2 linked regions of the Macaca mulatta genome follow. The protein of the gene in region 1 purifies or fractionates together with the protein of each later gene. This does not show direct contact. Links are inferred from orthologs where the notes say so. Each region holds a gene or a part of one and is shown in the gene's direction. Other genes may lie near its edges.

Region 1 (4,249 bases):
AACAAATACTGAAATAAATGATTGAGTAAACAAGAGAGATGGAACAAATCTTCCTTACAGAATAATTCTAAATAATAATATATGGATACTCCATCCTCTGGGATGGAGTTTAATCTTGCCCTCATCTTGAGTGTGGGTTGAATGGAGTCATGCCATTCAGAGTAGAGTGTATGGAAAGAGAAAAACAGCTTTGCAGTAGATAAACCTGGCAGACACAACCTTAACTAAGGGATCAAGGTCAAGTCACCAGTGATAAGTCACGTGGCCATCGTGCCATCATCCCTGAGAGGATGAGATGGGAAGGCACTTCATCTCTGAGGCTTTCCTCCCCCAAGTCTCATCATGAGAAGAAAACAGTAGACAACACCCATATGAGTGGGTGTCGAGGTACCCCCACAAAACTATACCTTACCAGAATACTTTATCACAATACTTTACTAGAATTCCTTACAGCTGTCGAAGTCAAGAAAAGACAGAGAAACTATTATGAATTAGAGGAGACAAAAGACACAGGAAGTTAAATGCAGCATGGTATCCCGGCCGGGATCCTGAAAGGGAAAGGGGTTAGCCTAAAAGCTAGTGACAGCTACATCAAGTCTGGAGTAGTGTTAATAGTGGCAGATCAATGTTAATTTCTTTTAAAAAATATTTTTAGTAGAAATGAGGTCTCGCTGTGTTGCCCAGGCTGGTCTCGAACTTCTGAGCTCAAGCGATCCTCCTGCCTGCCTTGGCCTCTCAAAATGCTGAGATTACAAGGCGTGAGCCACCGTTCCGGGCCCAGTGAGAATTTCTTAGTTTTGACAAATGTGCCATGGTTGTCGAAGCTGTAGGCATTAGGAGACACCGACTGAGGGGTATATAGAGGACTCTCTCTACTATCTTTGCAACTTTTTTGAGTTCCAAAAGAAAGTTTTTTAAAAAAAAACAAAAAAAAAATGCACTTGTACGCCATAAATTTATACTAAAAACAATAAAATCAAAGATTATTTAAAAAACAAAAAAGTTTATAAACTTAGGGTGCAAATAGAAACTTCTTGAAAAGCAGCAGCCGATCCCCTCCCCCAACCCGCCTGTACAGCACCCTAGCGAGGGGTGTGAGGGTCACAGCCTGGCTCTCCCGCGATGGGCGGGCGCGTCCAGCCGCGACTCCTCCCCGGAGCCTCACCGGCGCCGGACTCTGCCCTGGGCGCGCCCCGCGGGGCGGAGCCAAACCTGCGGGCGGTGGCGGCTGCACTCCCAGGACCCTGGCAACCGACCCTGGCCCCAGGGCCCGATCACCCAGGGGAGGAGCAGCACCGGGACCCCGTGCCGGCTGGGCGCCCCCCAAGGTAGGCGAGTCCGAAGGTAGGGATCTTCGGGCCCGGTCCCTGCGGCGCGCCCCCGCATCCCCTCCAGGTATGTGGGTGTCCAGGTGTCTTTCCAGCGGCTTCCCCAGCGGAGCTCCTGGCATCAAAGACATTTCCTGTAAAAGGGTCCTTGGTGAAGAGGTAATCCTTCCTGAAAATCTAGGTTCTGGGCTCGAATTTCCTGGGCGAGAAGTTTCTTCTCCACTGGGAAGAGTTACTTTTTTTCCGCAGAGAGGAACCCCTACTTAACCCGGCGCACACCTGATTATTTATTTAGGTTGTTGTTATACAATCCGTTTGTCAGGGGTCCCCGCGATTTCTGCCTGCTAATTTCAGAGGCTGTGGAGAAAAGTCCTGCGGTAAACGCCCTGACCTGGGAACTCCAGCGTGGTGACTTTGACAGGTCACTGCGCTCGTATTTTTTAAACAGCAGAGATGAATGAGGGTGGCTGTCTTCATTCATTTGTCCGGGCTTCCGCAGCTGCAGGTGTAGTTAAAAGAACAGCCCATTGCTTGACCGTTTCCTGCATGTTGAGTAGGCATCATGAGATTTTAGAGCTGGAAGTTACAGAGTGCTAGGCAGCTAGACAAAGGAACACTTACCTTACTAAAGACTAGTATGGGACCGTGCAGGTGTAGTTTTTAGACTGGATGATAACATAGCTGTGAATTTTCAGCCTTTTTGGAAGTGAAGACAAAATTGAATATAAGGATCAGAAAAAGCAACAAGCCCTGAAGCTAACTGAAGCTGCGTCTGTTCCCCATTATATTCTAATTGTTTTATTTTAGGAATCAAAACCTCTTTTACTTTCTTGGTGTATATAGATCGGATGAAGTGTCAGAATACAAAAAGGAATTATTCTGTGTTTGTGATAGAGAGGAGATAATCTGTCCTTTTGATTTTACCTAATGCTATTAAATATTCAGAGCTACTGAAGTCCGGTTTTCCTGAAATGTGAGCTGGGCAGGAGTGTCAGGTACCCTGGCAGACACAATTGGTGCTGTTGTTACGCTTTTCCCCTGCTGCCCACCCCCTTCTCCACCGCACTCCCAGTTTGAGTGAAGGCCCTTGACACAGAGGAATTTCTGCCCAAGGCAGGGAGTGTCCCCGTGTGGTTCCTCAAATGTTTACAGAAAGAATGAAAACAACTATACTTCCTGGGACCCGGGCTGACGTCACAAGGCCAACGTCATAAGAAGGTTCTTACCTCTTGCTATTTACAAAATAAATTGATCCCTTGTCCTAACTAGAAAGAGACTTTTGAAATTAATACTGATGCTATTTTGTGAATTACGGATAGGCATGTTATTTGTTAGCTTATTTGTTTATAGTGTGCTCAACACTGAAGGTGAGTTGTAATCCAAATTTTGGCCAAAGCTAAAAAACGTAAGCTAAATTTAGACAAAGCTGAAAAATGAGGTGTATGTTTGCTTGGAATAATGACTGAAAGGGAAATAACTGAAGATTTTGGTGGGAATGTAAAAGTCTTTTAAAGTAGTAGTTTCTCATCTTTTGAACTGAGATATTTACATCAAAATTATATGGCTATTTATTGACTGAAAATATTTCATAATGGCAAAATTTTACCATGAATTTACTAACATGTTTAAATGAATGTCATTTACTAAAATGACATTCAAAAACAGCCATTTATGTGGGTTTGGAAAACGAGAGAGAGAGAGAGATTGTGTGTGTGTGTGTGTGTGTGTGTGTGTGTACATTCAGTTTTAGAAACTATTTGGTGCATCTGTAAATTTGTGGGCCTATTCATGTAATCACTAAAACAATATTTATTGAGGGCACTGTGTTCTGTGTGAGAGAACCAGATGGGAGGGGAAGAAGGTCTGGGCCAAACACAGCCCTGTGTAAATAAGACACAGTTCTGTCCTCCTGGAATTGACTACATTGGAGTCCTCCAGGCCACCCCAAGTCAAGGCCATAGATTTACAGACCACAATGATCCATTCAATTTCGACCGTGACTGAAACCAGATTAGTTTCGAATCACATATTTCCTTAAATTGATTTAAATAGTCAAATCTAAAAATGATAGAGGAGCTTGTGTGTTATTCTAGTCAGTGGTTTTCTCTTTTGTTTAGGTTGGGGAAGAACTTAGGAATCATGTGTTTCAGGCTTAATGCTATGAAATATTAACTTAAAATAGCTAAGTATCAATTTCATGCAAATTAAATAAAAACTAAACTTGTAGTATGGATCACAATAATCTAGAGACAAAAATTAATAAACAAAAAATTTAAAACGGAAAAAAAATCTATCCATTAAATTATTTTTTTGCTATAAATTAGAAAAATATGACTATAATTAGATTTTCCCCCTGGAGGAAAACAGCCTCTTTATTCAAGTTATTCTTACTTTTCCTTCTGTTTTTTTTTTTTAACAGCTTTATTGGAGATATAATTTACGTACCATGAAATATATCTAAGTGTTTCAATGATTTTTGGTAAATTTATTGAATGGTGCAACCATAAGCACAATCCAATTTTATATCATGTCATCATTCCTCAAACATCCCTGGGACCTGTTTGCAATCACTCACCATTCTTACCCCAGCCCCAGACAACCCCTAGTCTATTGTGTCTGTTTAGATCTGCCTTTTCTGGACATTTCATACAGATGGAATCGTACAATATATAGTCTTTAGCATCTGGCTTTTTTCAGTTAGAATAGTTGTTGAGATTTATTCAGGTTGTCACATGTATCTGTAGTTGGTTCCTTTTTATTGCTTGACTAGGGTTTATTCCATGCCATGGCTATGCCACATTTTGTTCACCATTTAGTAGACGTTTATGCAATTACATTTGCATGGTAAAACAGATACGTTGGTGCAGCTTCCATGGTAGCATAATGTGAGAATAACTGATGTGAGCCAGCCTCTTATTTGG
Region 2 (3,822 bases), on another chromosome or scaffold:
TGCTCTTGTTTTTCATCTTATCTCTACCACTTGGTGCAGTCTGTCTGTCCTTAATCCTCACTTTTTGTACCCTGCCCAAGATTTGCTACATGTGATCTGAGTAAATAGTAAAAATCTCTCAGTGAAGATCTTAACTGTTAGTAAAGTTTATGAATACTTAAGGATAGGCATTGTCATATCTGTCTTGGGTTTTTTAAAGTTAGATTTTGGTATTAGCTTTTTGTCTTCCTGATTCTCAGCTGTTTTTGAAAGTTGAGGGAGAAGCATTTATTTGCATATCTGCTTTGTTCTGGGTAACTTACATGATCTCACTTAATACTCATCCCACTAAATCTTCACAACAATCTTACGGGAAGATAGTGTTTTCTCACTTTATGATGAGGAAAATGAGGATTGCAGACTGATTAGAGATAAGATTTATGTGATTTCAGATCTTGTCTGGGCTTTGCACGAAACCGGCTGCCTGGTTGTGATCATCAGATCATAACATGCTGCCTTTCCACTCTGTTGTGCTGCGTGACATGGTTAGGTGCTTGATTTCTAGATGAATTAGTTATTAACTTGTGTAAGTCTCAAGTTTCTAGCTTTGAGTAAGTGCGAGTTTGAAGTAGTACTAACTTGGGAATGGTAACCTCCAAAACAATGCAGTGCAGTTGTTGATCTCAGCTGTCTTAATGCATGAAACATGTTGAAACATGTCAATGTTAGCATGTGAACTTTTTTTGCAAGGGAGGAAAATTGAGATAATATTCCTTTGAATCATGAGCAACAAGTGGTTGATAAGTGCTATATCCCTGGCCAGCTTTTTTGTGTTACTTGCTTCATAGCTGAGCCACATCAATTTTATTTGGCTCCCTGTGTAGTGGGTCAGTTTGACTTGGCTCTCTGTGTAGTGGTATTAGAAACTACCATCTTAACCTTGTTCTGTCACCTGAAGGATGAGCAAAGCAAAAACAAACTATATGTATATGTCTGTATGGGGGGAGGGAGAGAGGACAGGTTTATGAACAAGTTTATGATCAAGTACAGTACATTGTACATAGTTAAAAAAAATCACTGTCTGAAAAAATAGAAAAATAACATTAATGAACTATTAATATATGAGGAGTAGTTAATATTTTATTCTAATGGAAATTTTAACTAACATGACTTCAGAGTAAACACTCAAAAGTCCAGCTGAACATTTTATTTTTAAGAAAAAGATAAATTAACTCTTTATTTAATCAAACTTTTTTAAAACTTTAGGTCGTGTCATATAAATGTATGATTATTTCTCTGATAATGTAGAGTTTTTCCAATACTATTCTTTCATGTTCAGTGATAGGAAAACTGAGTAGATTTTAAAAGGGTAATTTTTTACAGTGAAAATTATAATCTTTCATATTACATGTTCTCCTTGCCTTCTATTTAGATTTTTTTGACACTTTATTATTACTATGTTTATTGTGAAAATGGAGTTTGTTGTCTTCAGTGCCCTACCCCACACATTTGATTACGAAAAGGGATGTTACTATATCATTCTTCTGTAACCTAAAAGCAGTCAGGTTTCTTATTATTTCATATTCAGACTGCTGTCAAGAAACCAATTATAGTACCTGACAGATCCCACTAAAATTTAATCTTTGAAAAGATGTTTCAAAAGATCAGATGCTTCACTTACTTAGAAAATGTTTGGAAACAGCCTGGTCTCCCTGTATTGCCTTGTTTTCCTAATAAATTGTCTGTAAATGATTTTTCTATTAATCTGTTTAAAAGCAGAGTTTATTTTCAAGCTTTAGGGAAATATATCTCATTTGAACTTGCTCTTCATCTTGATAATGGACATGCTTTGCTTCTTCAACAACAGGACAATATCATCTTTAATTTTTTTCTTTTGCATTTGCACTACCTAATAACATGCCAAAAACATTTTAGTTGTCATTTTCATTTATTCATAAATGCATTTTATTCATGTATTTTATTCATAAATGCATCTGTTTTTAGACTGTTGTATTAGACTCTGAGGCGATAGAAGAGTAGTGATAGTGTTCCAGAGTTACTTGCTCCTTCTGCCAACTAATGTTAATCTGAGGTTTACAATTCAGCTTTCCTCCAAGAATTTTTGACACTTTTGCATATTCTGCTGTATAGAAAAGTAAACTGATTTTCTTCCAGAGTCATTGTCTGGAAACTGAATTTCCCATTTTAACCTTATTTCTTTCACACTGCTGCTTGGATTGCAAACCACATGTTTTAGTCTTTATAAAAAGTTTGTATCTTCTTGCAAGGATCGCACTTCAGCAATATCTTTGTCATTCTGAAAGTAATGTTTCTGAATGTAGTGGTGAAGAATGGTAAGTGGAATCATTACTTCCAGAAGATCACTTACATATTTACTTCATGTTTATATTCTCATTTGAGTACCTGTTCTCCTTTGAAGCACTACATGTGCTACATATCTCATCTTGGTGACTTGAGAAGGAAGTTCATAGTTTTTCTGTCACTTTTTATGTATACATTGAACATGCATCTCCATCTACATTTTATTTTAATTCTTTTGGACCTTAATGAATTCTAGATCCAAGTTGGAAAAAATATGGACTTAGCCATGCAAGATCCATTTCTTACCTGCTTTGCTCTCATTTGCCATTGCTGCTGCTTATCTTGCATCCCCTGTTGGTAATCAAATAGCATGTTTATAATCAAGATTCTTTTTTCTCTATGACATTTGTTCTGTAATATAAATGCCATTGGTTTTCATCCAGACTGTGATCTGCCTTCTAGTTCTCACGGAGTAGTACACATGGCCATTACCAGACTCCTTCAAGTGCCAGAAGCAATCAAATATTTTGAATTTTCTCTTATTTTTCTCATTAGGGTGCAGCATAGATGCCAAGCAAGTTGAGGAACAATCTGCAGCTGCAAATGAAGAAGTACTTTTTCCTTTCTGTAGGGAACCAAGTTATTTTGAAATCCCTACAAAAGAATTCCAGCAACCATCACAAATAACAGAAAGCACTATTCATGAAATCCCAACAAAAGACACACCAAGTTCCCATATAACAGGTGCAGGGCATGCTTCATTTACCATTGAATTTGATGACAGTACCCCAGGGAAGGTAACTATTAGAGACCATGTGACAAAGTTTACTTCTGATCAGCGCCACAAGTCCAAGAAGTCTTCTCCTGGAACTCAGGACTTGCCGGGGATTCAAACAGGAATGATGGCGCCCGAAAACAAAGTCGCTGACTGGCTAGCACAAAACAACCCTCCTCAAATGCTATGGGAAAGAACAGAAGAGGATTCTAAAAGCATTAAAAGTGATGTTCCAGTGTACTTGAAAAGGTTGAAAGGTAAAGTGATTTGATCATTCAGAACTTCCTATTTTATGATAAAGAAAATCCAGTCTGCAGTTACTATACTACTAGTAGATATTTACATGGTAGAAAACATTCTGCTTTTTTCAAAGGTTATATTTAATTTTAAAACTCAAGAGGAAGCCACACCACCCATGTCCAACTTCCTCGCTCAAATTAGTCTTTCTTCATTTTCTTGACAAAACCAGATTGGTTTTATGAACTTATATTTATGCTGTAAAACATGTTTCTTTTTCTTCTAGAAATACAAAATTTGTTAAGTTCACCAGTAGGATTCCCTAGCAGATGAGTTCCATCATTTTCTTGATTTAAGGAAAAGCTGTGTTCAATTCTGTTCTCTATTATCATTAATACCTAGATTCTGAAAGACATTTTAAGTTGGTATGAGCCAAATGTTCCACTTGGATAATACAGTCACATCACTGAAGGGAGTGCTTCAAAGTATTCTCAGTGGTTACTCATAAA

What was found.
Region 2: the proteins of CCDC68 (region 1) and CEP170 purify together in Homo sapiens (co-immunoprecipitation; 3 studies listed by BioGRID and IntAct, counting the BioPlex papers as one, with this or other methods). This does not show direct contact. The link is inferred for Macaca mulatta from reciprocal best matches to the Homo sapiens genes CCDC68 and CEP170.

Annotation. Positions count from the first base shown.
Region 1 is NC_133423.1:26,038,502-26,042,750, forward strand, and holds the start of CCDC68 (coiled-coil domain-containing protein 68), read left to right. Parts: upstream 1-1,178; 5' UTR 1,179-1,328; exon of another isoform or gene 1,329-1,395; intron 1,396-4,249. UniProt on the Homo sapiens protein: Centriolar protein required for centriole subdistal appendage assembly and microtubule anchoring in interphase cells. Together with CCDC120, cooperate with subdistal appendage components ODF2, NIN and CEP170 for hierarchical subdistal appendage assembly.
Region 2 is NC_133406.1:5,953,011-5,956,832, forward strand, and holds part of CEP170 (centrosomal protein of 170 kDa), read left to right. Parts: intron 1-2,856; coding exon 2,857-3,333; intron 3,334-3,822.